7 linked regions of the Sus scrofa genome follow. The protein of the gene in region 1 purifies or fractionates together with the protein of each later gene. This does not show direct contact. Links are inferred from orthologs where the notes say so. Each region holds a gene or a part of one and is shown on either strand. Other genes may lie near its edges. The genes, in order: CSNK2A2, CCNL2, DDX41, HADHA, SIN3A, DDX54 and DCAF7.

The links.
Region 2: the proteins of CSNK2A2 (region 1) and CCNL2 purify together in Homo sapiens (affinity purification with mass spectrometry; 3 studies listed by BioGRID and IntAct, with this or other methods). This does not show direct contact. The link is inferred for Sus scrofa from reciprocal best matches to the Homo sapiens genes CSNK2A2 and CCNL2.
Region 3: the proteins of CSNK2A2 (region 1) and DDX41 purify together in Homo sapiens (affinity purification with mass spectrometry; 3 studies listed by BioGRID and IntAct, counting the BioPlex papers as one, with this or other methods). This does not show direct contact. The link is inferred for Sus scrofa from reciprocal best matches to the Homo sapiens genes CSNK2A2 and DDX41.
Region 4: the proteins of CSNK2A2 (region 1) and HADHA purify together in Homo sapiens (affinity purification with mass spectrometry; 3 studies listed by BioGRID and IntAct, with this or other methods). This does not show direct contact. The link is inferred for Sus scrofa from reciprocal best matches to the Homo sapiens genes CSNK2A2 and HADHA.
Region 5: the proteins of CSNK2A2 (region 1) and SIN3A purify together in Homo sapiens (affinity purification with mass spectrometry; 3 studies listed by BioGRID and IntAct, with this or other methods). This does not show direct contact. The link is inferred for Sus scrofa from reciprocal best matches to the Homo sapiens genes CSNK2A2 and SIN3A.
Region 6: the proteins of CSNK2A2 (region 1) and DDX54 purify together in Homo sapiens (affinity purification with mass spectrometry; 3 studies listed by BioGRID and IntAct, with this or other methods). This does not show direct contact. The link is inferred for Sus scrofa from reciprocal best matches to the Homo sapiens genes CSNK2A2 and DDX54.
Region 7: the proteins of CSNK2A2 (region 1) and DCAF7 purify together in Homo sapiens (affinity purification with mass spectrometry; 8 studies listed by BioGRID and IntAct, counting the BioPlex papers as one, with this or other methods). This does not show direct contact. The link is inferred for Sus scrofa from reciprocal best matches to the Homo sapiens genes CSNK2A2 and DCAF7.

Annotation. Positions count from the first base shown.
Region 1 is NC_010448.4:19,985,725-19,989,224, reverse strand, and holds part of CSNK2A2 (casein kinase II subunit alpha'), read left to right. Parts: intron 1-2,295; coding exon 2,296-2,379; intron 2,380-3,378; coding exon 3,379-3,489; intron 3,490-3,500.
Region 2 is NC_010448.4:63,665,254-63,669,225, forward strand, and holds the start of CCNL2 (cyclin-L2), read right to left. Parts: upstream 2,801-3,972; 5' UTR 2,754-2,800; coding exon 2,454-2,753; exon of another isoform or gene 2,423-2,453; intron 2,156-2,422; coding exon 2,081-2,155; intron 1,820-2,080; coding exon 1,710-1,819; intron 533-1,709; coding exon 412-532; intron 1-411. UniProt on the Homo sapiens protein: Involved in pre-mRNA splicing. May induce cell death, possibly by acting on the transcription and RNA processing of apoptosis-related factors.
Region 3 is NC_010444.4:80,431,808-80,435,864, forward strand, and holds the start of DDX41 (probable ATP-dependent RNA helicase DDX41), read left to right. Parts: upstream 1-1,257; 5' UTR 1,258-1,853; coding exon 1,854-1,880; intron 1,881-1,967; coding exon 1,968-2,078; intron 2,079-2,360; coding exon 2,361-2,520; intron 2,521-2,600; coding exon 2,601-2,675; intron 2,676-2,805; coding exon 2,806-2,866; intron 2,867-2,993; coding exon 2,994-3,130; intron 3,131-3,499; coding exon 3,500-3,572; intron 3,573-3,689; coding exon 3,690-3,843; intron 3,844-3,933; coding exon 3,934-4,057. UniProt on the Homo sapiens protein: Multifunctional protein that participates in many aspects of cellular RNA metabolism. Plays pivotal roles in innate immune sensing and hematopoietic homeostasis.
Region 4 is NC_010445.4:112,787,843-112,791,342, forward strand, and holds part of HADHA (trifunctional enzyme subunit alpha, mitochondrial), read left to right. Parts: intron 1-252; coding exon 253-424; intron 425-2,749; coding exon 2,750-2,836; intron 2,837-3,500. UniProt on the Homo sapiens protein: Mitochondrial trifunctional enzyme catalyzes the last three of the four reactions of the mitochondrial beta-oxidation pathway.
Region 5 is NC_010449.5:58,220,321-58,223,820, reverse strand, and holds part of SIN3A (paired amphipathic helix protein Sin3a), read right to left. Parts: intron 2,696-3,500; coding exon 2,512-2,695; intron 1,002-2,511; coding exon 428-1,001; intron 1-427. UniProt on the Homo sapiens protein: Acts as a transcriptional repressor. Corepressor for REST. Interacts with MXI1 to repress MYC responsive genes and antagonize MYC oncogenic activities. Also interacts with MXD1-MAX heterodimers to repress transcription by tethering SIN3A to DNA.
Region 6 is NC_010456.5:38,651,267-38,654,766, reverse strand, and holds part of DDX54 (ATP-dependent RNA helicase DDX54), read left to right. Parts: intron 1-545; coding exon 546-688; intron 689-794; coding exon 795-908; intron 909-1,439; coding exon 1,440-1,544; intron 1,545-1,799; coding exon 1,800-1,912; intron 1,913-3,491; coding exon 3,492-3,500.
Region 7 is NC_010454.4:15,348,197-15,352,382, reverse strand, and holds the start of DCAF7 (DDB1- and CUL4-associated factor 7), read left to right. Parts: upstream 1-1,386; 5' UTR 1,387-1,638; coding exon 1,639-1,776; intron 1,777-4,186. UniProt on the Homo sapiens protein: Involved in craniofacial development. Acts upstream of the EDN1 pathway and is required for formation of the upper jaw equivalent, the palatoquadrate. The activity required for EDN1 pathway function differs between the first and second arches.

The sequences.
Region 1 (3,500 bases):
AATAATGCACAGGACTGCTACCCGTAACAAAGAATCCTCTGGTCCAAAGTGTCAATGGTGCCGACATGGAAAAGACCTAATCTTGTCTCTTGGACAATTCCATCTTATAAGAGCTCTCAATGCCAGGCGCATCAGTAGGTACTCTTAAGATTGTGGATTGCTGTCATCATTACTCAAGGAGTACTTTATGGATAAGACATAAAATGTGGGACTCATAGGCTTCAAGGGCTTTTTAAGACAAGCCAAAGGGCCCAACGTTGAAATTTATGAAAATTTATTTTCTGTATTGGAAAACGCAGATTTAGAAGCAAATTTTTATATTCCTTAAAAACAAACTTAACCCAAGTAAGAAATGGGTGAAAGATTTGAATTAACAATTGTCCAAAGAAAAGATGTGTAACCTGATCATTCATTATAGAAATAGCAAAACCATAATGAAATACCTCTTCAAACCCACTAGAAAGGCTCTAATCAGAAAGATAAACAGTAACAAGTGTTAGTGAGGATGTAGAGAAACTGGAGCCCCCATACATTGCTAATGGGAATGTAAAATGGTTCAGCCACTTTGGGAAATAATTAGGCAAACTCTTGAAAAGTTTATTGTAATTATAGCCCAGCACTTCCACCTTTAGGAGTCTACCCAAGAGAAATAAAAACATATGTCCTCTAAAAGACTTTTTTTTTTTAACTCCTTTTTTTTTTTTTTTTGTCTTTTTGCTATTTCTTGGGCCGCTCCTGCGGCATACGGAGGTTCCCAGGATAGGGGTCGAATTGGAGCTGTAGCCACCAGCCTACGCCAGAGCCACAGCAACGCGGGATCCGAGCCTCGTCTGCAACCTACACCACAGCTCATGGCAACCCCGGATCGTTAACCCACTGTGCAAGGGCCCAGACCGAACCCGCAACCTCATGGTTCCTAGTCGATTTGTTAACCACTGCGCCACGACGGGAACTCCTCAAAGACTTTTTTACATCAGCAGTGTATTCGGTCACTGGAATACTACTACAAGGAAAAAAAGCAACATGGATGAATCTTAGAAACGTTATGCTTAGTGAAAGAAGATAAAGAACTGTATAGGGAGTTCCCGTCATGGCGCAGTGGTTAACGAATCCGACTAGGAACCATGAGGTTGCCGGTTCAGTCCCTGCCCCTGCTCAGTGGGTTAACGATCCGGCGTTGCTGTGAGCTGTGGTGTAGGTTGCAGACTCGGCTCGGATCCTGTGTTGCTGTGGCTCTGGCGTAGGCCAGTGGCTACAGCTCCAATTCGACCCCTAGCCTGGGAACCTCCATATGCCGCTGGAGCGGCCCAAGAAATAGCAAAAAAGACAAAAAAAAAAAAAGAACTGTATATATTATTTCATTTTATGAATGTCCAGAAAAGGCAAATCTGTAGCAACAGGTGGTGGATCAGTGGCATAGGTCACAGCTGTTGCTGGGATTCGATCCCTGGCCCAGAAACTTCCATGTGCCATGGGTGTGGCCAAAAAAAGAAAAAAAAAATCTTAGCTGCGTGTCAGTGGTCTTACAGGAAGCAGTTTTCTCCTTCAGAGTCATAATTCTTTAACTGGATCAGGGATTGTTTTTAAGGAAAATTCTAATATTAGAATACATCTTAGTCTACAAAACCCACGTGGGATTTTGTAAAAGACAGGCCACACTGCCAGTATATTTAGATGTCATTCTTCATGTCTACATGGGTTCTTACATGTCATTTGAAACTGGCATGAGGAATGACTCCACTGAGGTTCCTAGATCTGGTTTTAGGCACACCAAATTAGACCAACAGATTCATGTACGTTTTAAATTCATGCGACTAATAGTTGCTTCCAGCCATAGGTAGAGACAAATGCCCAAAGAAATATGTAATTTCCCCCTTTTAAGAAATCTTCATGGATTTCCTGCTGTGGCATTCTGCAGCACCAGGATGCAAGTTCAATCCCCGACCTGGTACAGTGGGTGAAGGGATCTGGTGTAGCTGCAGTGTCGGTCTAAACTGTGGCTCAAATCTGATCTCTGGTCCAGGAACTCCATATGCTGCAGGGTGGCTGAAAAAGGGAAATCATCATAGTCCTTGGTGACTCCCCTCCACAGCCCCCATTCTGCTAGCATAGTGTGCTCAGAGAGCAAGGGGTGCCTTCTGAAGCATGTTTTTTGTTGTTGTTACAGACAGTAAGCTGCTCCTTGGGAGACTATTCAAATCAAACTGGTGCGAACAAGTACTAAGAATATGCTTGCATTGGGAGGAAGGTGATAGAGGGTTTGCTTACTTTTCTCTGTGCTTTCTTATCTAATAGGCTCTGGATTACTGCCACAGCAAGGGAATCATGCACAGGGATGTGAAACCTCACAATGTCATGATAGATCACCAACAGAAAAAGGTACCATTACAGCCAGGCAGTGCAAGCCTTTCATTGAAAGACTTTGGCCAGTACCTAGCTGGTTTATAAAGACCCATGTTGTTTTTTTCTTTGGAAGACTTGTGATGTTGTATTTCTTCAGTCTCCAGTGTACTTGGCGTAAGCATAGTACACAAGGAAAGTAGACAGCTGACCCTAAGTGTAGTTACTTGTTTACCTTGATGATGGTTTTCCGGGGGGCCTCAAGAAAGAAATTACGGTTGCTGATTTCTACTTCCTTTCTTAACGATCCTCAGACCAGTCGGCCTGGCCTTATGATTAAAAAGTACACTTGGATGCCACCTCTTTTCAGTATTCAGTCCTGATTGTACCTCACTGGTGAATAAATGAATTAGCTAGTGTTAGATTAATGAAAAGCTAGAGCAGTGCTTCAGTCCTAGAACAGGGCACATGCTCCATTTCTTTCTGTTATGACTAGAGCTTTATAATGAAAGCTGTCAATAATGAGGTGGATGTGTTATCACATGCAACTGGATGGAGGCAGAATAAAAACTTAAGCTTTATTGATCTAAAGAGAATGATAAGGAGTCCCTTTTGTGGCTCAGCAGCTTAAGAACTCAAACCCTTGTCTCTGTGAGGGTGCGGGTTTGATCCCTGGCTGGCTTAGTGGGTTAAGAATCCAGCGTTGCCACAGTATAGGTGACAGATGTGGCTTGGATCTCACATTGCTGCAGCTCTGATTCCACCCCTAGCCTGGGAACTCGAATGTTCCCCAGGTATGGCTGTAAAAAGGGGGAGGGGTAAAAAGAATGATAAGCCAGGATAATTTAAATTTTTAAAAGAAAAAGCAAGTAAGATTCCAGGTGCTCTGCTTTAGAAATAATCTTAAATGTAGTTGCTGAAAGTATCAACAGTGTACTTTATGTGGCCAAATACTTATCTAAAATGATGTGGCCTTGTTGTAAGACACAGGCATCTAAAAAACATTCCTTTCCCACGTTTTATTTGCCATACTTATAGCTGCGACTGATAGACTGGGGTTTGGCAGAATTCTATCATCCAGCTCAGGAGTACAATGTCCGAGTAGCCTCGCGGTACTTCAAGGGACCAGAGCTCCTTGTGGACTATCAGGTAAAATTGTT
Region 2 (3,972 bases), about 44 Mb from region 1:
GTTCCATCACTCGTGATGGACCGTGATGCGAAGGAACACGAGCAAAGGGATGCAGGTGTGCAGGCGGGACTAGGTCACTCCGCTGTACAGCAGAAGCTGACAGCAGTGGAAATCAATGATAAAATTGGTTTAACTGTCACTAAAACAACTTAGAAAGTCAGCTGTTGAGAAAAAAAAATGCAGAGTGACACCTCATTTTGACAAGTTCATTCCCATCTTGAAAAGCTCAAACCCAAGATGCAGTTCTCAAAGCTCTTAAAAAGACGCCATTAAAATTAACGTAACACAAGACCACGGAAAAACTTATTTCCAGGTTAGAGTGCAAACGGGACACTGGAGTCAGGGGCCCAGTTACTCCTCTTCCGTTTCCAATCTGGGTGACACGGGGCGGCAGCGGGGCCTCGTACCCACCTTGTGAGGGTGCTTCACGTGCACGCAGAAGCCCAGCTCCTTGAGGACTCGCCTTTCCGCCTTTATGATTTGATTCTTTAAATTAACGTAATCTTGATCCAGCAGGAGAGGCACAGGTTTTCTACAAAGACAGAGCACGCATCTAGTGAGAATTAAATACAACAGAATCTGTCCAACCCAGGATGGCCGCCGCCGACAGCCTCCCGGAAACAGAGTCGGCTTCCTTTAACCAGCGAGACTACCGGCTTCCTCGAACCCCAGCGCCACCCAGCTTACCCTTCTCAGGAAGGCTCTCCCGTTTTCTTTCCATTTTGTTTTGTTTTAATGGCCGTGCCCACAGCACTTGTGAATTCCCGGGATGGGGAATGGATCCAAGTCGCAGCTGCAACACTGGATCCTTTAACCCGCTGCACCAGGACCAGGGTTTGAACCTCGCCTCCGCAGTGAGCTGAGCTGCTGCGGTCGGACTCTTAACCCACTGTGCCAGTGTGAACTTCTCTCCCTGTGTTTGACTGAGAAATGCCACTGAACATATTGGAGGGTCTCACAAGCTCCTCACCCAAGGACTGCTCCTGGTTCGTCCTGCTCAAGACGCATGTGCATCACAAGTGAATGGGAAAGCAAAGGACCAGCAGAGTACAGCATTTCAATAGCAGAGGCTGTTTTATTGGCTGGAGGTTGGAAGGCCTGGCCAAGGATGCTTCTAGACACCCTACAACGCACAGGACAGCCCCCCACAAAGCATCACCCACCCAAAAATGGAAACAGTGTTGAGGGTGACAAGCCAGCTCTGGAGCATTCAGAGACTGACGGGGGCACACCAGGAAACCGATGCCAGAAAGACGACTGCCACACTTCCCTGACCACTCTTCACTCACTAAACAGTATGGGTCGGCCCCCTCTGCACCAGGGCTCCTCTGGGCACAAGTTTAAACCTCACAACCCCGAGAATGCCCGCTGGGGCTCAGCTGGTTAAGAACCCGACACTGTCCATGAGGACACAGATTCAACCCCTGGCCCCACTCAGTGGGTTAAGGGTCCAGAGATGCCCAGAGCTGCAGTGTAGGTTGCGATGTGGCTTGGATCCAATGTTTCTGCAGCTGTGCCGACGGCTGGCAGCTGCAGCTCTGATCTGCCCCCTAACCTGGGACTTACATGTGCCGCAGGTGCGGCCATGACAAAGAAAAGCGAGCAAGTAGAAGCTTACATCCTGAATCTTGTTTCAGAAACATCCGTGTAACTGGACAGCCGCGAGAACGAGCACACGCACACCTGCAACAGCTCTAACTCGGACGCACCTTTTCTCCCTCAGGTGTCGAAGCCGGTGAAACACATTGATGACGTCTCGGATCCTTCTGGGAGCTTCCTCTATCTTGGAGGCCAGGTGAACACAGGCCATTGACACATGCTGAAATGGAAGCAACGCAACACGGACGTCTGCTCCAGCGGCGACACCTCCCACAGCTTAAAACCAGCTGAGAGCAAAGAGGGGTACCGGGAGAAAAAGGCCACCTATCTACCGCACAGGGGGCTCCCCAAGCCTTTAAGGACAGCGCTGCAGGTGGTGGAAGACAAGGACTCACTCCACTGAGCAACGCGGCAAAACAACAAACCCAGGTTTCCGGTTCCCCCCTTTCTGCGGGACAGACAGACGAGGAGGAGGTCTTACCTCCATGGAATGCTTCACAAAGGACTTGGTATAAAAGAACCGCTGGAACAACACCTGCCCTGTAGCCATGGCCACCTACAGAAGAGAAAAGTTTCCATCCTTTCCAAACGCCTACTCTGAGTGTTTCATACTTAAGTCACTGAGTTTCCTGAGACTCCTGACAACCAAAAACTAAAACGTGTCCCGCTGCTTTGCCTCCCTCACTACCTCCGGGACGCGCTGGGCCCGGGGCCCGGGTGGGAATTAGGAGCGGGCTTGGGGTCGGACGTCGGCGCCGAGCCGCCCGGCCCTGCCGCCAACAAAGGGCCCCGCCGCCTCCCCCGGCGCCGGCACGGCGGTTACCTCGGCCCGAGGCTCGCGGCCGCTCCCTCACCTGCGGCAGGCGGAGCAGGATGCCGGCCGCCTGGATGAGCTCGCAGCCCACCACGCGGAGGTCGGTCTCGGTGTCGGTGTCGAGGCCACTCGACATGGACGGAGTGAAGCGCAGCTTGTCGTCAGGCAGGAGGCAGTTCTCCAGGGTGATGAGCACCCCAGAGTACAGCCGGTCCCCGATCAGCACCCCCTGCGATCCCGGGGCTGCGCTGCCCGAGCCCGGCGTGCCGGCCGCTGCCGCGGGGGCCGCCGAGCCCGGAGCCCCGGCCCCGGTCCCGGCCGTCCCCGTCGCCGCCGCCATTTTGTGCCGCCGACTCCTTCTCGGGCTCCTTCCCCGTAGGGCGGCTCCTCGCGACGCTCTACGGCCGCGACCGCCCCGCCCCGCCGCGTACCATTCGTTCGACTGGTGGGCGGCCCGAACCCGCCTTGTGGCGATTGGCTGTACCGCCTGCCCGTCAGCGTCTCACCCGACGCCGGAACCGGAGCGGGCGGGGCCGGGCACGTTACCCAGGAGGCCCCGCGGCGCCCTAGCGAGGCCGCGGCCGCGACCCGGAAGTACTAGCCGTAGACGCCGGTTCCGGTCCTGGCGCACAGCTGGTGCCGGGGTCCGTGAGGTCGCGAGGGTTCCGCTGCAGCCGCAGGCTTCTGGGGGGTCCCGCGGGGGCCCAGGGGAGGGCAGGGCCCTTGCCGGGCAGTGGGAGTGGGGGCGGCTCTCCTACCGCCGGGACTGCGTCCTGCAGGGCAGGGGTCCAGAGCTTGGGTGGCGGTGTCGGAGGTCTTCGAGGCAGCCGGCGCGGTCATTACTCTCTAGCCTTTACTGAGACCAGGTTTTGGGGCACACGTGTTAATGCCATATTCTCAAAGTTCTCGCCTACAAGTCGAGTCCATACAGAAAAGAAAGGGTAGTTTCCAGCCATTTCTCCTGGAAACAGCGGGGAGCCATCGACGGGTTTGACTTCATTTCCTCATCGGTTGTACCAGGCGCTCCCAGGATCAATGAATTTTTACGTCACCGGACAGCAGTGTTGTAATCGCGTCCGATGCGGTAATCGTTATTACTAAAGTTTTCCCAAACTTCCACCGAGATTAGTGGAAGAACCTGGGAGGATGTGGAAAAGACCGGGCGAGGGCAGGGTGGAGAGGAGATGGCAGGGTAGGCGCCTGGATGGGTGCGGGAGAACAGGAGCTGCCAGTGACTGCGCCCATGACTGAAACCCCAAACCCGGAGGGTGCCATTGGCTTTCACTCCTGAAGAGACTTAATCCTGCAGCTCAAGCAGTGCCAACTAAACCTGTCTCTCATCCCCACAGGCCACATGATAACCGTGCTCCCCTGCTCCTACCCCCCAAGCCGGCATCGCCAGCATGTCTCCTCTGTGGGCTACAATAGCACACTGTCCAGGAAAGGAAGAATTTCCTCTTCTGAAACCCCCTGGAAACAGTGTTTTCCATTGCCCCTGCCTGGGATGCTTCCCATCTCCTGCAGTGACTAGCCAGAGGGAAAAGTTTATGGCTGTAGCC
Region 3 (4,057 bases), on another chromosome or scaffold:
TCTGTAAACTCACAAGCCATGTTTGTGTCTTGCTCATCTTTTATCTCCTTCGACACTGGGCACAATGCCCAGCACATACTCATATTTAGTATATGAAGGGGGAGTTCCTTTTGTGGCTCAACAGGTTAAGAACCCAGCATAAGGTCCGTCAGGATACTGGGTTGATCCCTGGCCTTGCTCACTGGGTTAAGGATCACTCATTGTTGCAAGCTGTGGCATAGGCCGGCAGCTGCTCCAGTTTAACACCTAGCCCGGGAACTTCCATATGCCACAGGTGTGGCCCTAAAAAGGAAAAAAATCATATATATGAAAAATCATATGAAAATCATGTATAAGTATTTATGAAAAGAACAGCACTAACCTGTCGCTCCTTTTAAAAAGTCCTCAGTGAGGAGTTCCCGTCACGGCACAGCAGAAAAGAATCCGACTAGGAACCATGAGGTTTTGGGTTCTATCCCTGGCCTCGCTCAGTGGATTGGGGATCCAGCGTTCCCATGAGCTGTGGTGTAGGTCGCAGACGCAGCTCGGATCTGGCGTCGCTGTGGCTGTGTGGCTTTATTCTTCATCACCGTGAACATAAGGTATCACAGGGAGGACCCCTATCCTGGGAACCTCCTTATGCTGGTGGGTGTGGCCCTAGAAAAAGACAAATAAATAAATAAATAATAAAAATAAAAGTCCTCAGTGGATAGTTCCTATTGTGGCTCAGTGGTAAGAAACCTAGTATCCATGAGGATGTGGCTTTGATCCCTGGCCCCGCCCAGTAGGCTAATGATCCGCAATGTTATGAGCTGTGGTGTAGGTTGCAGAGGAAGCTCTGGATATGGCGTGGAGTGGCTGTGGTGTAGGCAAACAGCTGCAGCCCCTAACCCGAAAACTTCCATATGTTGCAGGAGCGACCCTAAAAAGAAAATAAAAATAAAAGGCCCCAATGAAATTGAAATTACTTACCCTGACAGTCTCGGCCCTGCATGCTCTGGATCTACTTTTCCAGCTTTAGCTCTGACTATCCCCTTCTGATACAAGCCAAGTGATCTCTTTGTTCCCTGAGGAACTTGCACATGGCCAGAACTTCACTCCCACTGGACCCTCTATCACGAAGCCTCTCTCTTCCTCTCCTGCACTCCCAGCTCTGAGACTCCACAGATCCAGTTCTCCTAGAAGACTTCTCTGGTTCTCCGATCACTGTCTGAGCTCTGTTACAGCATTTACAATAATAATCGTTTACATACATGTACAGCCCCTCAGAAACCACCGTCATCAGTATTTCATTTATTCTTCATCACCGTGAACATAAGGTATCACACAGATGAGAATCCCAGTCAGGGCGGCAGCATGTGTTGAGTCATTTATTCTGCAAGCCCCACCCTGACCCCTGTGGCCCGTGAGAGTTAATGGCGGCTGGAGAGAGCGGGGCGGGATCCCAGCTGGCCCGGTCCCAGAGCTCCCTGGCCACGAGAGGACAGTGTCCGCTAGCGGGGGTGTACCAGGTAACGTCACGCCTTAGGCGAGGCTGGGCACCTGGCAAGCCGCCCTCTTCGGAGTCAGCAGATTCCACGCTTCAAACAGGATCGGCTTGAGCCTTCAGCGCATGCTCCAAATTTTGCAGCGTCCAACGGTGCCTTGCCTAAGGCTTTAGCTCTCAGCCCTGGCAACAGCTGCGTAGCCGCCCACAGGGAACTGGGATGCGGCTCCGCCAGACAGGGACTCAGGAGAAAGTTTGTCCCTCTGCGCGATCCGGCACTCAGGTCGCTGCTAGCTGCCGACGTCTGCTTCTTCACATCTGATTGGATAGCATCATAGGAAAGGCGGGGGGCGGGGGTTTGCCGTGGCGCGCATGCGTATAGCAAAGAATGGAGGAATCCGAACCAGAGAGGAAGGTGGGAGCTTTGCTCGCTGGGGTCCGCGTGGGTTGCGAGTGGTAATGAAGTCGGGGAGTCTGGGCCTTGACTCGTGTATATCTGCAGCGGGCTCGCACCGACGAGGCAACTGCCACAGGAAGCCGCTCCGAGGCGGAGGATGAGGACGATGAGGATTATGTACCCTACGTACCACTGCGACAGCGCCGGCAGTTGCTGGTCAGGGCCCTGGGTCGCGGGGACGAATGAGGGCAGGAATGAGGGTTTGGCTGTGGCATGGGGGATGGCCCCAGGTTTGCAGAGTGAGGTGTCAGTATACAGGAGCATGGTCCCCAGGCAAAGGGGGGAACTGGTGAGGCGACGTGATCTGAGGGATGGGGCAGCTCTGCACCTCGGGGCACAGGATCCTCTCCCAAGAGCCAGGATCCTGACACCTGCCCCTGGGTCCAATGCCCCACTCTGCATTGGACTCGGCTCTGAGAGGCGCTCGTGGAACCTCAGCTCCAGAAGCTGCTTCAGCGAAGGCGCAAGGGAGCTGCGGAAGAGGAGCAGCAGGACAGCGGCAGCGAACCCCGAGGAGATGAGGACGACATCCCGCTGGGCCCTCAGTCCAACGTCAGCCTTCTGGATCAGCACCAGCACCTCAAAGAGAAGGCTGAAGGTGAGTTGGGCAACAAGAGGGAGGCTCAGCTTGGTACATTGCTTTAGTGTCTTTCTGACACCTTCTGCTGCTTTTGTCAGCCCGCAAAGAGTCTGCCAAGGAGAAGCAGCTGAAGGAAGAGGAGAAGATCCTGGAGAGTGTAGCTGAAGGTCGAGGTATGGTTGTAGGCAGGGGCAGAGAGGAGGTGGACTGCCTCTCCTCCTCCAACCCCAGGCATGTTATATCTCAAGGGGGTCTGGCCTCTGGGAAGCAGTAGCCAGTCCTTAGCCACATCTCTCTTCTCAGCCTTGATGTCAGTGAAGGAGATGGCTAAGGGAATCACATACGACGACCCGATCAAAACTAGGTATGTCTTTCTGGCCTGTGGAAAGTCAGTAACCCTTACTTGGGACCGTATTTGGGGGACACTGGCAGGGACACCCTAAAACCAGCTGTGTCCAGGGGCTCTCTTGACCCTTGCCACCCACCCACAGTTGGACACCACCCCGGTATGTTCTGAGCATGTCTGAAGAGCGGCATGAGCGTGTACGGAAGAAGTACCACATCTTGGTGGAAGGTGATGGGATCCCACCACCCATCAAGAGTTTCAAGGAAATGAAATTTCCTGCAGGTACTTGGGAGCTCGGAGCAGTACCACACTATGATAGTGGAACATTTGTGCAGTTGCATCCTTGCCCTCACTGAGCTCAGCAGCTACATCTTTGGGTCCAGTCAGTGGGGATGGAGGGATTGGTCTTGATGATTCTTTTTCAGTTGGTGCAATTATACATATGTACTACTCTCTGCCGTTAGAGAATTTTAGTGGACAGGTAACAATGGCCTTTAACAGACCTGGCTGTGAACCCTGCCTCCACTTTACCTGGAGGCCTTGGACAAGCCTGTGTCTGTCTTTCTCTCTTAGTTTCAACATAGTGCCAGTTTTATGGGCTTTGGGGGGCCTGATGAGACACAAGGATGATGGCAGGGTTGTTTTCTGTAGCCATCCTGAGAGGCCTAAAGAAGAAGGGCATCCACCACCCAACACCCATTCAGATCCAGGGAATTCCCACCATGTGAGTGTGAACCTGCTGGTGTTGAGGAGGGTGGTGACAGGGAGGAGCGGTCGTTAGATGAGAGGCAGTCCGTTTATTCTACTGAACCTGACCCTCAGGTCTGTCTTCTCTCAATAGTCTCTCAGGCCGAGACATGATAGGCATTGCCTTCACGGGTTCAGGCAAGACACTGGTGTTCACCCTGCCCGTCATCATGTTCTGCCTGGAACAAGAGAAGAGGTTACCTTTCTCTAAGCGCGAAGGGCCCTATGGACTCATTATCTGCCCCTCGGTAAGATAAGCTGGCTGGGGTTGGGAGTGGGGGAATGCAGGGCACCAACAGGGCCACCTCTGGTAGCAGCCATTGCCCCTGTACCTACAGCGGGAGCTGGCCCGGCAGACCCACGGCATCCTGGAGTATTACTGCCGCCTGCTGCAGGAGGACAGCTCGCCACTCCTGCGCTGTGCCCTCTGCATCGGGGGCATGTCTGTCAAAGAGCAGATGG
Region 4 (3,500 bases), on another chromosome or scaffold:
TTTGGAGGCATCTCGTAGTAGAAAGAATGTGATGTGGGTTCAAGTTGTCTGGAATCCTAGTCCCCTCCCTTCACTAGCTCTTGGACCATGAGTCCGTCTGAGCCCTTTGAGCAGCTCAGCCCCCTCAAAATGGGAGGAACACGACGACCCCACTGAGTGCGTGAAAGGCACGTAACACACTCTGACCCACAGACACTCAATGAATGTTAGTTTCCTTTTCGCCCCCCCTGACTAGAAATGTCTTTTTTCCAGACTGAATGATAAAGTGAGGAAGAAAGCACTAACATCATTTGAAAGGGACTCCCTTTTCAGCAACTTGACCGGGCAGCTCGATTACCAGGGTTTTGAAAAGGCCGACATGGTGATTGAAGCTGTTTTCGAAGAGCTGAGTCTTAAGCACAAAGTGCTCAAAGAGGTAGAGGCGGTAAGTGAGGGGCCTGCCGCACTGAGTCCTGGTGCAGCGGGTGGAGAACACAGACGGGGGTTGCTTAAGGAGGTGGAGGGAACTCGTTGTTCTGGGGCCATTCATTCCCAAACATAAGTTTTTATGTGAACCCGTGCACACTGTATGTTACAAAGGTCAAGTCAAAGTCCTCAGAGAAGACAAGTAGGAGTTCCCATGCGGCTCAGCTGGTTAAGGTGCCAGCGTTGTCACTGCAGCAGCTTGGGTTCAATTCCTGGCCAGGGAACTTCCATATTCTACGAGTGTGGCCAAAAGCAAACAAACCTAAAAGAGAAGGAAGAGGATTCCGGTCAAGTGATATGCGGACTATGAACAAATGAACACAGTAGTTCCGTTGAAACATAAGTGTTGAGAAGCAATGGGACAGAACCTGTTAGGGAAAGAGAATGAAAAGCGGAGGCGTTTGATGTGCTGGCGTTGTCACTGCTTAGAGGCAGGCACCGGGGAGAGGGAGCAGACGGAGATGGGAAGGGGAGGTATTCAGCAGATAAGTGAGAAAAGAGCAGGCAGGTTATTGCTGAAGGCAAAACCCAGAATGTCGCATTTGGGAGTTCCCGTCTTGGCTCAGTGGTCAGCAAACCCGACTAGCATCCATGAAGACGATCCTTGGCCTTGCTCAGTGGCTTAAGGATCTGGCGTTGCTGTGGCTGCGGTGTAGGCCGGCAGCTGCAGCTCTGAATCGACCCCTAGCCTGGGAACCTCCATATGCCGCGGGCACCACCCTAAAATGACAAAAGCCAAAACAAAGGCACATTTGTTGTGGTCATCTGTGTAACATGTCAGGGGGCCTTTACCTCTTTAGTGAAGCGAGTGAAATCATCTAAGGTGGGAGATACTCCAAGTTACTCAGAGAAGAGTGAGGTCCAGAGCAGACCCCTCTTTAGAAAACCAAAGAATGTCAGGCGAAACACCCTTAGGAGGGCATCGAGTCCACCCCCCCCCCCCCCGCCCCCGGCCCCGCTTTCCTTAGAGGAAAACGTTAAAGCGGAGTCCGCACTGCGCTCCTCACGGATTTACAGCTTCTCCTCCTCGTCACAGAACTGAAGAGACCCACGGCTTCGAGACCTTCCCAGGCCTCGTCTCCAGCCCCCTCTGCCTTGGTGTCTCCTTTGCTGTCTGCACTGTGTCTCAGTGTTCTCTGGGCATGTGACGGGCCCCCGCAGAGACAGCTACCTTTCCGCAGTTGTGCAGGTCGGGCAGGGCGCTGCCCAGGTGGCTGGCCCTTAGCTCCGTGCGCCCTCCCAGCAGGGGCACTCCTGGGACCGCCCTGGGCGGAAAGATTGCTGAGGCGCCTGCCCTCCATCAGGGTTCCAGCCAGAACTCCCCTGCAGCAGAGCCGCCGGCTTCCAGGAGGGCCAAAGCAGAAGCCAGCGGGCTTCACAAGGCTGGGGCCGAACTGGCAGAGTCACTTCGGCTGCTTTCTGTTGGCAAAAGCAAGTCACAGGGCAGCCTGGATCTAAGGGGAGGGGAGAGACTCTGCCTCTGGATGGGAGGAGAGAGACACCTGGGTGAGGAGGGGGCATCGCTGCCAGCCATCTTTGGGGACATTGGTCCGCTCTTCACAGAGAGCTCTGCCAACGCCACTGGACCCCACACCGCTAATGATGCAGCCTGAGACTGTGGTAGCTTTCTGACTGTCAGGCCCCCCTTTGGACTCGCATTATACTTTTGATGAAATAAGGTCATGGGCTCTTTAACACAAGGCTACTGCCAAGCCAGGTCTTGTGCCTTAGGTGCCTCTCCAGGTCTTTTTTCTCTTCTTTTTTACAAAATCTTAATGTAGTGCTTTACCTTCACCCTCCCTATAATTGATCTGATCTTATACTCACCTTTTCAGGGTGTCGAATATTTCTGGACCCTTGATTCTCATGTCTGGTGTCAGGCTTCTGCCTGTCACAGATTTGCACACATTTGACAGGTGTGCCTTGCATGTTTTTCACTCAAGCATCTGAATAAAAACATGAATATGTTTGGGCAGTGGGCAGAAGGCTGAGACAGTCTACACTAGAGACTTCTCGGGGTTGATAAAGCTAACAGTTAATGGCGTTCATGCACTGTGGGTATAATCAGAGTGGTGTACCAGTTCTTGGTAACACATGGTAAAGTATCAACTAGGCGGGCACATCGTGGCTTGTTCTTAGAAAAGTGAAGGACGGGGTGTCTTCCGTCTGATCAGTTCTGGGTGAGCGGGTGGGCAGCGGCCGGGTGTCACTCATTGGCTTTCCTTTGGACGCTCGTCGTCTCCCAGGCCCTCATGACACGTTCCTAAATGCTTTCCTCCTGCAGGTGATTCCAGATCACTGTGTCTTTGCCAGCAACACGTCTGCTCTCCCGATCAGTGAAATTGCTGCTGTCAGTAAAAGACCTGAGAAGGTAAATTCTGAACAGAGGAAAACCCTGAAATGTTTTACTGCACCAGCCTCATTGATGAAGGCTTAGAACATGAGAAGGGACTGGTATGGACTCTGAAGTGGACGAGGGTGCTGATGTAGTCCCCAAAACTGGGCACAGAAAAGACCAGTGTGAGATGCAGGAACAAGTGAAGTCCCACTCAGGTAGATCTTTGTGGTGATCTGCGCCCCTAATAGGGGTTATTATTCAGCTTCAGGCTATAAACCCTTCCTTTATTCCAGGTGGCCCTGGTGATAGGCCCTAAAATAAGACGAGATGCTCCAAACGGGCACCTTCCTGTGGAGCAGACTCTGGTGACTGCCTGGGTTGGGTTTGGTTCCAACTCCAGAGCCAGGTGTGGAAGATCAGGGGGTGTGGTGGGATGGGCCCACCCACGGCTTTGCTGAGACCTCCTTCCCCGGGACCGAGGGGCAGCTGTCGAAGCACCTTCAGCGAGTATTTGGAATGATGCTTCGACACTTAGCTTTGGGCTTCTGCGCTCTACCAGGAAATCAGGTGAAATCATTCAGGTCGAAATAAAGCAGTTCACCTCTACGGAGGACACCAGTTAGCTGCAGCGAACCAGAACCAGGCAAAAGCAGACAGGAAATATAAAAGGCCTCTAAGCAGCTGAAACTGTTAATGC
Region 5 (3,500 bases), on another chromosome or scaffold:
AGTTTAAGTAAGGCCACACAACCAGTAAACTGCAGTGTTATAAGGCCTGCCTGTATTCTACGTATAACAGAAAGCAGCCCTTGAGTCCCCAGTGTGGCTCAGGAGGTTAAGGACTCAATGTTTCTATGAAGATGAGAGTTCAGTCCCTGGCCTCCCTCTGCGGATCAGGGATCCGGTGTTGCCACAAGCTGCAGCATAGGTTAAAGATGCAGCTCTGATCCGTTGCTGCTGTGGCACAGGCCTGCAGCTGCAGCTCCAATTCAACCCCTAGCCTGGGAACTTCCACATGCTATAGGTACAGCCGTGAAAAGAAAGAAAAGAAAGCAAGAAAGCAGTTCAGAGTCTAACTAGGTTCTGAGGTCCCCAACCCTTCACATCTTCTGTAGGCCAACACACTCTCTTGTAGACCAATCAACTAAACACTTACTAGGTTCTTTGAGGCGTAACTGGATGGCAGGGCTGTCACTCTTGTCTCTCTTTATGCCTAGCACTTCCCGTTCCCACTCTCTCTCTCGGTTTTCTTCCTCAATTTGCCGTTCAGCTTGGGAACAAATCCGCAGCAGCCTCAGGCAGAGTATCTGGTGCAGTCGCATAAAGATATACCAGTTATTATTAACATAGAAGAGGTTGTATACTTCATCCATCCCTCTTAACTTCTGAGCTGCTGTGTTACTAAACAGTAGCTTGGACTTAGGGGGACTGCCCCCAACACCATTGTGCTTCTTAGCTGCCCCTGTGGCTTCATCTACATCCATCTCTTCTTCTTCCTCTTCCTCCACATCCGAGAGATCACCTCTCTGAGCAAAGAGCAGATCTGGAATGAAGTGATGCATGATTTGCTTGATTTTATATTTGTCCTCCTTCTGAATGCCTGTCTGCCTCTTCACATGGTGGATAATCAGAGCAGCAGCATCTTCCAGAATCTGCTTATCTTCATAGGCAAGTGAGAGGTGTGGGCCAACAGGCACACCAGCATTTTCTTCCGTAGCCTGCTCTTGCCTCTAACAGGAAAGAGAAAGAAAGCATTATGTGACATACCTACAGAGATGATAAACAGACCTACGAGACTACACCATAGCAGCCATTATTTTCCAATCCCAAACATTCAAAAACAAAAAGATAATGTGTTTGATACCACAACGATTTGTATCTTTCAGACATTTTAGACTTATATGGAAAATGGGACAGAACTGGGACCATTTTTTAAAATTCTAAGTTAATATTTATGGAGGATACGATATGAGATCTAGGATTTACTTTAAAATATTTCTGTGGTGGGAGTTTGGAAGGTTAACAGATACAATGAAACAGGCAAAAGAGAGATGATTATTCAAGTTTACGTAAGCTCATTTTACTATTCTCTCCCCTTTTGCATATGTTTGAAATTATCATAAGAAGTTTTTTAAAATCCCAGATCACACCACTTCTAGGAATCTCAATCACACTGTGTTTGTTTCTATCTATCCCCTAAGACTGTAAGCTCGAAGAAAGTAGGATTAATTTCTTATTCATCTCTGTATCCTAGCTCCTAGTACTATATATAATCCTGGTAAGGATGACAAACAAGGATTAGGAAGAGTATGGGGGGGAGTTCTCTTATGGCACACCACATTAGAGATCCGGCGTTGTCAGTGCAGTGGCTTGAGTAGCTTCTGTGACAGGGGTTTGATCACTGGCCTGGGAACTTCCAATTTTCACATGCCATGGGCATGGCCAAAAAAAGAAAAAGAAGAAGAAAGTCTGGGGATCAATGATAGGTATTTTAAGTTGTGGGGAGTTGAGGTGAGCTCTAAGGAATTTTAGGGAAATAGATGGGGAGAGAAGTGGGAGAGGGAGATGATGGGCATGAACTGAAACCGGGATCATAAACTGGGAAGCCAATACAACAGCTTAGTGAGGCTTAGATTTAGAATGGTAGAATCACACTGAGAACCTGCCTAGATATTTACATCGCAACAGAACAAAGGGAGGAAAAAAAATGTATACATGTATGTGTAACTTGGTCCCCATGAGATCTAGGATTTACTTTAGGATCTACTTTTACATCTAGGATGTACAGCAGAAAAAATACATAAATAAAAAAAATAATATGGAGTTCCTGTTGTGGCAGAGTGGTTAATGCATCTGACTAGGAACCATGAGGTTGTGGGTTCGATCCCTGGCCTTGCTCAGTGGGTTAAGGATCCGGCATTGCCGTGAGCTGTAGTGTAGGTTGCAGATGCAGCTCGGATCCCGCGTTGCTGTGGCTCTGGTGTAGGCCGGTGGCTACAGCTCCAACTGGACCCCCTAGCCTGGGAATCTCCATATGCCACAGGAGAGGCCCTAGAAAAGGCAAAAAGACAAAAAAATAAAATAAAATAAAAAGGTAGATTCAGGAATAGAGGCTATGACAACTACGAAGCAAGAATCAACAGGTCTCCCATTCAAATAACAAAGGTAATCTGCCGGAGTCAAAGTTATGCTGACATATATACTGGAGACTTCTCAAGGATGTAGAGACCTCCGGCTTACCTCATCATAGATACTCTCAATCTCATTGAGTAAGCTCTTAGATCTCAGGACCTTGGTGTCATTTTGTTTAAAGTTGATGCCTTGGTGGTCCAGAGATTTCAAGTAGTATTTCTCATTTTGTTCTCTCCACACCTTATTAAAGCCTCTCTGAGCTTCTCGCCATTCTTCCTCTTTCATCTTCAACCTAAGGTGGGTGGGGTTGGAAACAACAAAACATGGGAGTCCAGATGAGGGAATTTTAAGGTAGGAATCCTGGATCTGCCATAGTAACCATAAGACTTATAAGTAAAATAGGGATAATAGCACCTAATTCATAAGGTTTTAGAAGTGAGAAGTCAGGTTTATTCTATTTCTCTATTTCAAAGGTCAAAAGATACAGAAGATCCAAACTGTTGGCAACTTTGGGGTAAATTTTATCCAAATCAGCCTTAAACTCTACCACATGAGAAAATTACTCATTCAGGACTTATTCTGGGGAAGTCATTTGTCCTAAAGTCAGAAACCTTGCCAAGAATAGTTATTTCTCAAACATCATTTCATAGAATACCTCAGAAAAAGGGGTTCTCTCCCTGGGGCAGCTCAAAGTGATACAACTTTCTTTGCTACAGGATCTCTGAGGACGTTTACTATGCTAATGTAAATGCAAAAGTCCAAGGGCAGAAAACTTGCACAGAAATGTTCTTTGGGACACAGTTTGGAAGTTCTAATGAGAACAACTGATCCTGATACTCCAGAAGAGGAGAGGAGAGTAAAACCAAAACCAGCACTAGAACTAAAGAATATCCTTTATCTCCAAGCCAAAAGTTAAATGCTATTGGCAAGGAGAGGAATACCTCCTGCCAGCTCTTGAGGGAAGACTAGGGAGGAATAATAACATCTGGGCACTTGTGAATTATGCAGCAGATAAGTTTTCACCAGGTGATACCAAGGGAGGACCCAGCTCTTAGCAGGGATTCACAGTATGGTACAGAGTGCCATGGACGTGGAGG
Region 6 (3,500 bases), on another chromosome or scaffold:
AAATGGGCAGACCAGGGACTGTTGGCAGCAGCAGGGCCATGACTCAGGCAGCGTCAGCCCTGGGCCTTCATGGTGGAAGGCAGGGCTGCGGGACCAAGAGTGTGCTGTGCCCCTGGTGGCTAGGGGCTGGGCCTGCTCATCCACCAGTATGTCTCTCTTACATTTGATCGGATAGGGCTCCAGAGGGCAAAAAATGTTCTTAAAAACCCCTGGACTAGTCCACATCATATAGAGCAAGGCCCAGGCCCAGAGAGGGACAGGGCCTTGCCTTGGTCACATGACCTGAGGGAGGCTGAGCTGGGACAAGAATGTGGTGGGTCTCACCCTCGTTGGCACCCTGCCCTCCTCCTACCCCACCTGGCCTGTCTCTCCTGGTGTTTGAGGCAGGGGTTGTGCTATGTGTGCAGATGAGGAAACAGGGTCTAAATGGCAACACCAGGTTTTCAAAGTCCCGGAAGCCCCTGGACCGCAACCTGGGCTGGTGGGTTGGGTGGCCAGTCCACTCCCTGGGGGCAGCGGGTGACTCCTGGGCCTCCATCCGCCAGGACGTCTTCACAGAGGTCGTGGGCCAGAAGCGGCAGAAGCCAGGACCTGACCGGGGAGCCAAGAGGCGGAGGGAGGAGGCCCGGCAGCGGGACCAGGCGTTCTACGTCCCCTACCGGCCCAAGGACTTCGAGAGCGAGCGAGGGTGAGTGACTCCTGGTCCCAGTTTAGGGCAGGTGGGTTAGGGTAGGTGGGCTTGATGGGCACCCCACCTCCAACCCCATGACGTCTCCCCAACCCTCCCTCTGCAGCCTGAGTGTCGGTGGGGACGGGGGAGCCTTTGAGCAGCAGGCGGCTGGTGCTGTCCTGGACCTGATGGGGGACGAAGCCCAGAGTCTGACCAGGGGCCGGCAGCAGCTCAAGTGGTAAGTGAGCCAGTGAGCACACCCCGCCATGTCCCCGTCTGCCACTTGGTCCTCACAATAGGCATGTGACCTCCTCCCTGACTGTCTCTCTTATGTTTGATCGGACAGGGCTCCAGTGGGCAAAAAAATGATGCCCTAGAGCAGGAATTATGACATCCCCACCCTCATTTGATCCTGCACAGCACAGATTATGACACACACACCCTCAGCCCATCCTGTAGCAAAGTGGGAGTTGGGAACTCCTCCAGGGCACCCCTGTATGTGACCCAGGCCCCCAGACCTTGAACCCCCAGGTTGGAGCTAATCCCCTGACTCTCACACTGCCTTTTGAGACCTGGGCTGCCAGGGAGTGGTGAGGAGGGGCAGGGCACAGGCTTTTATGTTGCACCTGCTGCACGCCATACGTGGGCACCCTGCTTTCCTTGAATCCTCCAGCGACCCAATGAAAGTCAGGGGGAAACAGGCCCCGAGGCAAGTGGGCCACCTCCCTCCGCAGCACACCTCCCAAGTTCCTAACTCCTTTTCCCACAGGGACCGGAAGAAGAAGCGGTTTGTGGGACAGTCAGGACAGGAGGACAAGAAAAAGATCAAGACAGAGAGTGGCCGCTATATCAGCAGCTCCTACAAGCGGGACCTGTATCCAGAAGGGCGTGGCCATGGGTGGGGGGGGAGCAAGCACCTTCTGCCTCCACATCTCCTATAGGTGGGGGCGGTGTCAGGGAGGGGCGTGGTCTAGCCCCTATAGTTGAGGGCAAGAGAATGGGTGGGGTCGATCGGATTCAACCATCAAACCCCCTGTAGGTAAGGCCTGTATCTTCTGGGCAGGGTGGGGCCCACACGTGTCACGGGCATCTGGATGCTGCAGGCAGCCTCCTTAATGCAGCCTCTCAGATACCAAAAGTGGAAACAGAAACAGAAAATCGATGATCGTGACTCAGAAGAGGAAGGGGCTTTTGACCGGCGAGGCCCAGAGCGAAGAGGTGGGAAGCATGGCCGAGGGCAAGGTAAGAGTCTGGGTAGGATGGTCCTTAAAGTGCAGGTTGGGAGTTCCCATCGTTGCTCAGTGGTTAACGAACCTGACTGGTATTCATGAGGACTTGGGTTCCATCTCTGGCCTCGCTCAGTGGGTTAAGGATCCTGTGTTGCCATGAGCTGTGGTGTAGGTCACAGGCGTGGCTCAGATCCCACTTTGCTGTGGCTGTGGTGAGGCCTGCAGCTGTAGCTGATTCAGCCTCTATCCTGGGAACTTCCATATGCCACAAGTGTGGCCCTAAAAAGACAAAAAGACCAAAAAAAACAAAACCGCAGATTGGCACATTTGGTCATCTCGGGGGCTTGGTCCTCCTCATGTGGTGTTTTTCCTTCTCTGGTGGTGGACACCTCTTCTGTCTCTCCCTCCATTTCTGTCTTGGATTTTCTCTGACGTGTCATCCTCTCTCGTTATTCTGTAGTTTCATCCTCTCCTTTTCCATTTCTGACTCTCTCCCTGTCCCTCTCTCTTTCCTTGTCTGTTTCTCTCCATCTTTCTCTGTCTTTCTGTATCTCTTTCTACTTTTCTCATGGTTCATGTTATTTTTTCTCCTGCACACATGCACTTCCCAGCTTTCTCCTCCTCTCTTGTCTCCCTGTGGATGTCCCCTGGCTCCCCCCAGGCTCCCTCACCCCTCACTCCTCAGCTCCCAATTTTACCCGGAGTGGAGCAGGCTGCTGCTGTGGGCTTGATGGTGAGGGTGGCCTGTCAGCTTCAGGAAAAAGCAGCTGTTCTCCCCTCTGTCCTTTGTCCTCACTGGAGTGATGGGTCCCTGTTAGGTGCCCTGGCCCCCATGGAGTCAGCTAGGGCCGCCTTAATGATCATCTGTGTGGGAGCTCTTCCGTGGTCATTGACGTGGGTGGGAGAGGGAGCCTAGAAGTGGGGCACAAGGGCCTGGTGGGGATCCGAGGGGCAAGGCCACTGACCACTGCTGCTGCCACTTTGCTCGGTGACTTTGGCCAAGTCCCGTCCCCTCTCCAGTCTTCTCTGATTTCTCTCCTGCCAGAGGAAGATTAAGCTACAGCCTGTTTTCGTCTAACAAGCTTAGAGCACACCATCCATAGAGACAGGGATTGCAGTCCGTCTGGGTCCTTAGCGCCTGCATAGTGGAGACACTGAAAAGCCTTCATTGAATGATTTCTAATTGTAATAGTTACATTTAGGAGGCCCTGACTGTAGACTAGACCATGTTCTGAACACTACACATGTAATAGCTCATTTACCCCTCATTAGGACTTACATGGTAGGTGTTGTTATTCATAATTCACAGCAGGGGAAACTGAGGCACAGAGAAGTCAAGTCATTTGTCCAAGGTGCAAGTGGTCATAGCTGGGATTTGAACCCTGGCAGTATGGGCTTGAAGGTCCATGCTCTTGTTCGTTACAGAAGACTCCTTAAGCTTTATTAAGCAGTTGCTATCTGCCAGATGTCAGAGCCACAGCAATGAACATGGGATGTGAATAGGGGCAGGGGAGCAGCTTGGAGGCTTCTGGCAGGAGAAAACATTGGAAGCGGACTCAAAGGCTGAGCCCCCCAAATCTCTGTCCTGGCAGGTGCATCCC
Region 7 (4,186 bases), on another chromosome or scaffold:
GTTCACCTACGGAAGTGGATAGGACTGTGAGGAGTTTGTTACATTAAACAGTGTCACTCAGTCACTCAATTCTTTGAATTCTTTCTTTTTTTTTTTTTGGCCACCTGGAAGCACATGGATATGGAGTTCCCTAGCCAGGGATCAGATCCCAGCTGCGGTTGCCGTCTACACTGCAGCTGTGGCAACCCTGGATCCTTAACCCACTGTGTGGGGCTGGTGATCAAACGTGCGTCCTTCTTTCTGAGTTTTCTGTTAACAATCACTTTTATCACTAAAAACTATATATATATAGTCTTTTTAAGGTCACATGTGCCCTAACTATTGAGGTTCCCACGATAAGGATCGAATCAGAGCTGTAGCCGCTGGCCTACACCACAGCTCATGGCAATGTCGGATCCTTAACCCACTGAGCGAGGGCAGGGATCGAACCTGCGTCCTCATGGATACTAGTCAGATTTGTTTCCATTGAGCCACAACAGGAACTCCACTAAATACTATATTTAATGATATATTATCTAACAATTCAATACAATTTTTTGCTTAGTTTTGTTGAAAGCAAATTATTGGAAACCATTTAAATTATAAAGAGATGTTACCTAGATTCTGACCCTTCCCCATTTCAAATTCAAGACACTTATATATTTAAGGCTAGATTAGCATTTGCCTTGGGACGCTCGTGGGAAAAGATGGAAACAGAAGCTGACAGCCACGCTGGCGGGGTTGCTGCCTGCTGAAGACCAATCCTCTAATTCCAAGCACTTCTAGAATGGCCAGGAAAGGTTGACTGAAGCTGGCCTGGTCCTGAGTAGAGCGGCGTGTCCGCCGTCTGCCCTTGGTACGCTGGGAGAACAACATTCCAATTTAAAGGAGGCGTTGGCGAAGCAGGGAAATAAAGGGGTTTCCCTTCGGCGCAGGCCCGTCCGCAAGGCCCGGGAGCTCAGTGCCGCGAAACGCAGCAGGCCCTCTCGTAAGGCAGACTTTTCATTTTCACTCGCCAACGTGGAGAATCCGGTCAGAATAGCAGCTGCAGTGGGGAAGTCAGAGCAGTCACGTAAGAGGTTTCACTCTCAGAGACTTGGCCTAGAACTTGGAGGCCTGCTGCACAGTACGCGAGCTTTTAAGCCGCCCACACCCCGATTCACCCGCACTGCGCCGTTATCTCTCTGACTGACATCTTTGTCAGCCAATGACCTTTGTGGCTGTGAAAGCGCCTGCCCCCTGGAGTTGGGCAGAGCAAGTAATCGGAATGACAACCATACGCACCAATAGCAAGGAGGTTTCAGAAGCTACGGGTACACTAGCCAATGAGGAGAAGGAGCCGTTCGAAAGGACGTGTCAGGTAGCCAACGGCCGGCGCCGCTGAGGGGGTCGCGTGGCTTCCGTTCTAGAGGGTGGGGCGGGGTCTCAAACGGAAGGTGGTTGTTGTCCGAGCCGAAGCAGGTTTGAAAGTGGGGGTCGGGCTCGGCTGTCGTTGTCTGTAGCAGCGGCCCCGCTTCCGGGCTAGGCTGTCCGTACCCGCCCCCGCCCCGCCTCCCTTCGGACCCCTCCGTCCCAGGCCTGACTCCCTGCCCGATTCGCGCCCCGCCCGCCGCAGCTCGCTGCCGTCCCGGCCCGCACTGCGGCCCCGCCGCCGCCACTATGTCCCTGCACGGCAAACGGAAGGAGATCTACAAGTATGAAGCGCCCTGGACCGTCTACGCCATGAACTGGAGCGTGCGGCCCGACAAGCGCTTTCGCCTGGCGCTGGGCAGCTTCGTGGAGGAGTACAACAACAAGGTGGGCCGGGCAGGGGCTCGGAACCCAGCTAGAGGGACGCGGGCACCTGGAGCGCCCTTTCCCGGCCGGAGCTCAGACCCCAGGACCCTCCTGCGGACCTGCCTTAGCGCCACGGAGCGGTTCCTCTGTGTCTGGCCCTGTGCAGAGGGTTTCGCTCTCGTCTCATTTAATCCTTGCAGCATTCCTGGGTAGTCAGGAGTGTAGTTACCCGCATTTTACCGATGGGGGAACTGAGGCACCGTGTTGTGACTTGCCCCAGTCAGACAGCTATTGCGTGACGGAAACAGGTCTCAAACCCAAGTTTGCAGCGCAGAGCTGTGCCGTTTATCACGCCTATCCCCTCCTCTCCTGCAGCTTCAGTTGGGGGGCGGAGGAGGGATGAGGGAGTGATGGCTGCGAAGAAGATGCTGGAGCCCCGTGGTCCTTCTCCCCTGGCCACACTAGATTTCTATTAGGACTGTTTAGCAGGTTTCACCGCCCCCTGTTCCCTGGATTTCCCCAGCCTTTCTGCCGGGATTGCCATTGCTATTGCTGCCTCATATTCGTCCTCTTCAAAGCTATCTCTTTTTGGAAATCTTGCCAATGGCTATTGTCTTCTGCATAGAAAAGGGTGATGCTTGCCATTTGTTTTCTTGGCATCTTTCATGCTGATACAGACAAGTAACCTGGAGTAGAAGTAAGTCTTTCTGGACATCCACAATTTGAGAATCCTTTTTAGAAGCGCGGTTAATAGGAGGAAGCTTGAAGCTGGCAGTGACACATAAATTTAGTTTTGGAAGTTGAATAAGTTAGTGGAAAGAATTTTCTTTCCATTACTCCGTAGTTTGCCATTTATTGTATTAGAGTAAGCGTTGTGATTGACTGATAGTGATCAGAGCAACTGAGAGCCATGCTTAGTGGTGTTTAAAACCTGTACACCTGCTTGACACCAGGAACAGTCTAATTTAAGAATAAATTGTGGGCAGAGGCATGGTGCAGGGGAAAAGGCCAGGTGCTCTAGGATTAGGCCTTGTCTAGTCCACTGATTAGCTGTGGGACACTGCATAGGTAAGTTTTATTATTTCTGACCCACAGTTTGTTGTAGGAAAGAAGTCCTTTAGAAAACATTTGAGCATTGTAATTTTGTTTGCAGGTTTTCAGGAGCACATCTTAGAATTAGATCTTAAGGAGTTCTGGTTGTGGCTCAGCAGTGACGACCCGACTAGGATCCATGAGGAGGCTGGTTGGATCCCTGGCCTTGGTCAGTGGGTTAAGGGTCTGGCGTTGCCAGGAGCTGTGGTGTAGGTCACAGACACAGCTTGGATCCCAAGTTGCTAGAGCTGTGGTGTAGGCCGGCAGCTGCAGCTCCAATTTGACCCCTGGCCTGGGAACTTCCATATGCTGTATGTATGCCTTCCCTCCCCCCAAAAAAATTAGGTCTTAAATTTTTTGTAATCCTTTTTGAGAAATTGATGAGAACAATGGACTCTTGTTGCCCAGACATCCCACATACACACTTTACAAACAAATCCCTGAAAGTATGCACTGATCTCGGAGTCCACGATTTCCCACAGAAACCAGAGAGTCCTGAAAAGACATAGCTTTATTTTTCTTCTGGAGCCTCTTTCTTCCTTATGGCACATAGTGGACCGCAGAGCTGCTAAAGTGAAATTCAGGGTCCTGATGTGTAAACTGAATTAGTAAAGTTGAGAGCACTAGAACTGTTGTTTAAGAATACATGTTTAAACAAAGGGGGGGTGGTAGTAAAATACATCTTTCAAAGGGCTTGAGTCTTTTCACACAGACGGATGGATTTTTTTTTCTTGCAAGGTCAATTTAGGTAAGCAGTAGCAGCCCCATTTCTAAGAGATGAGAAACCAAGCCACAGTTAGGCTGCTGGTAGAATCAGTGGAGTAATTGGTGTCAAACTTTGGTTGCAGGAACTCTGCCCCCAAATTTATCCTTTCAATTATGGAGCTCCTTCTTTGTGCCAGGCACGCAGGCAGTGTGGTTTTAGTCGTAAAATGCTAATTGATAATCCCAGTAGTAATAGAATAAGCAGTTACCTCTGTCTTAACTCACTTGCGTAATGTGGGCAACGTGGTGTCTTAAAATGGTTTTTGTGTCCCCTGCCCCAGGTCAGAGTTCTTGTGTGTGTATATGTGTTTGATGGACAGCTTTGGCAGTCGGAAGCCAATAGACCTCTGTTCATAATTATGTTTTCAAATGCATAAAATACATGGGATTACAAAGGAAACCAACCATATGACTCATAGTTACTAAAAACATTTTTTGGAGTTTTCTCATGGTGCAGCGGGTTAAGGATCCGGTGTCGTCACTGCATCGCCTTGAGTTGCTGCTATGGCTCTGGTTCAATCTGATCCCTGGCCCTAGAACTTTCGAGTGCCGTGAGCATAGCAAAAGGCAAAAC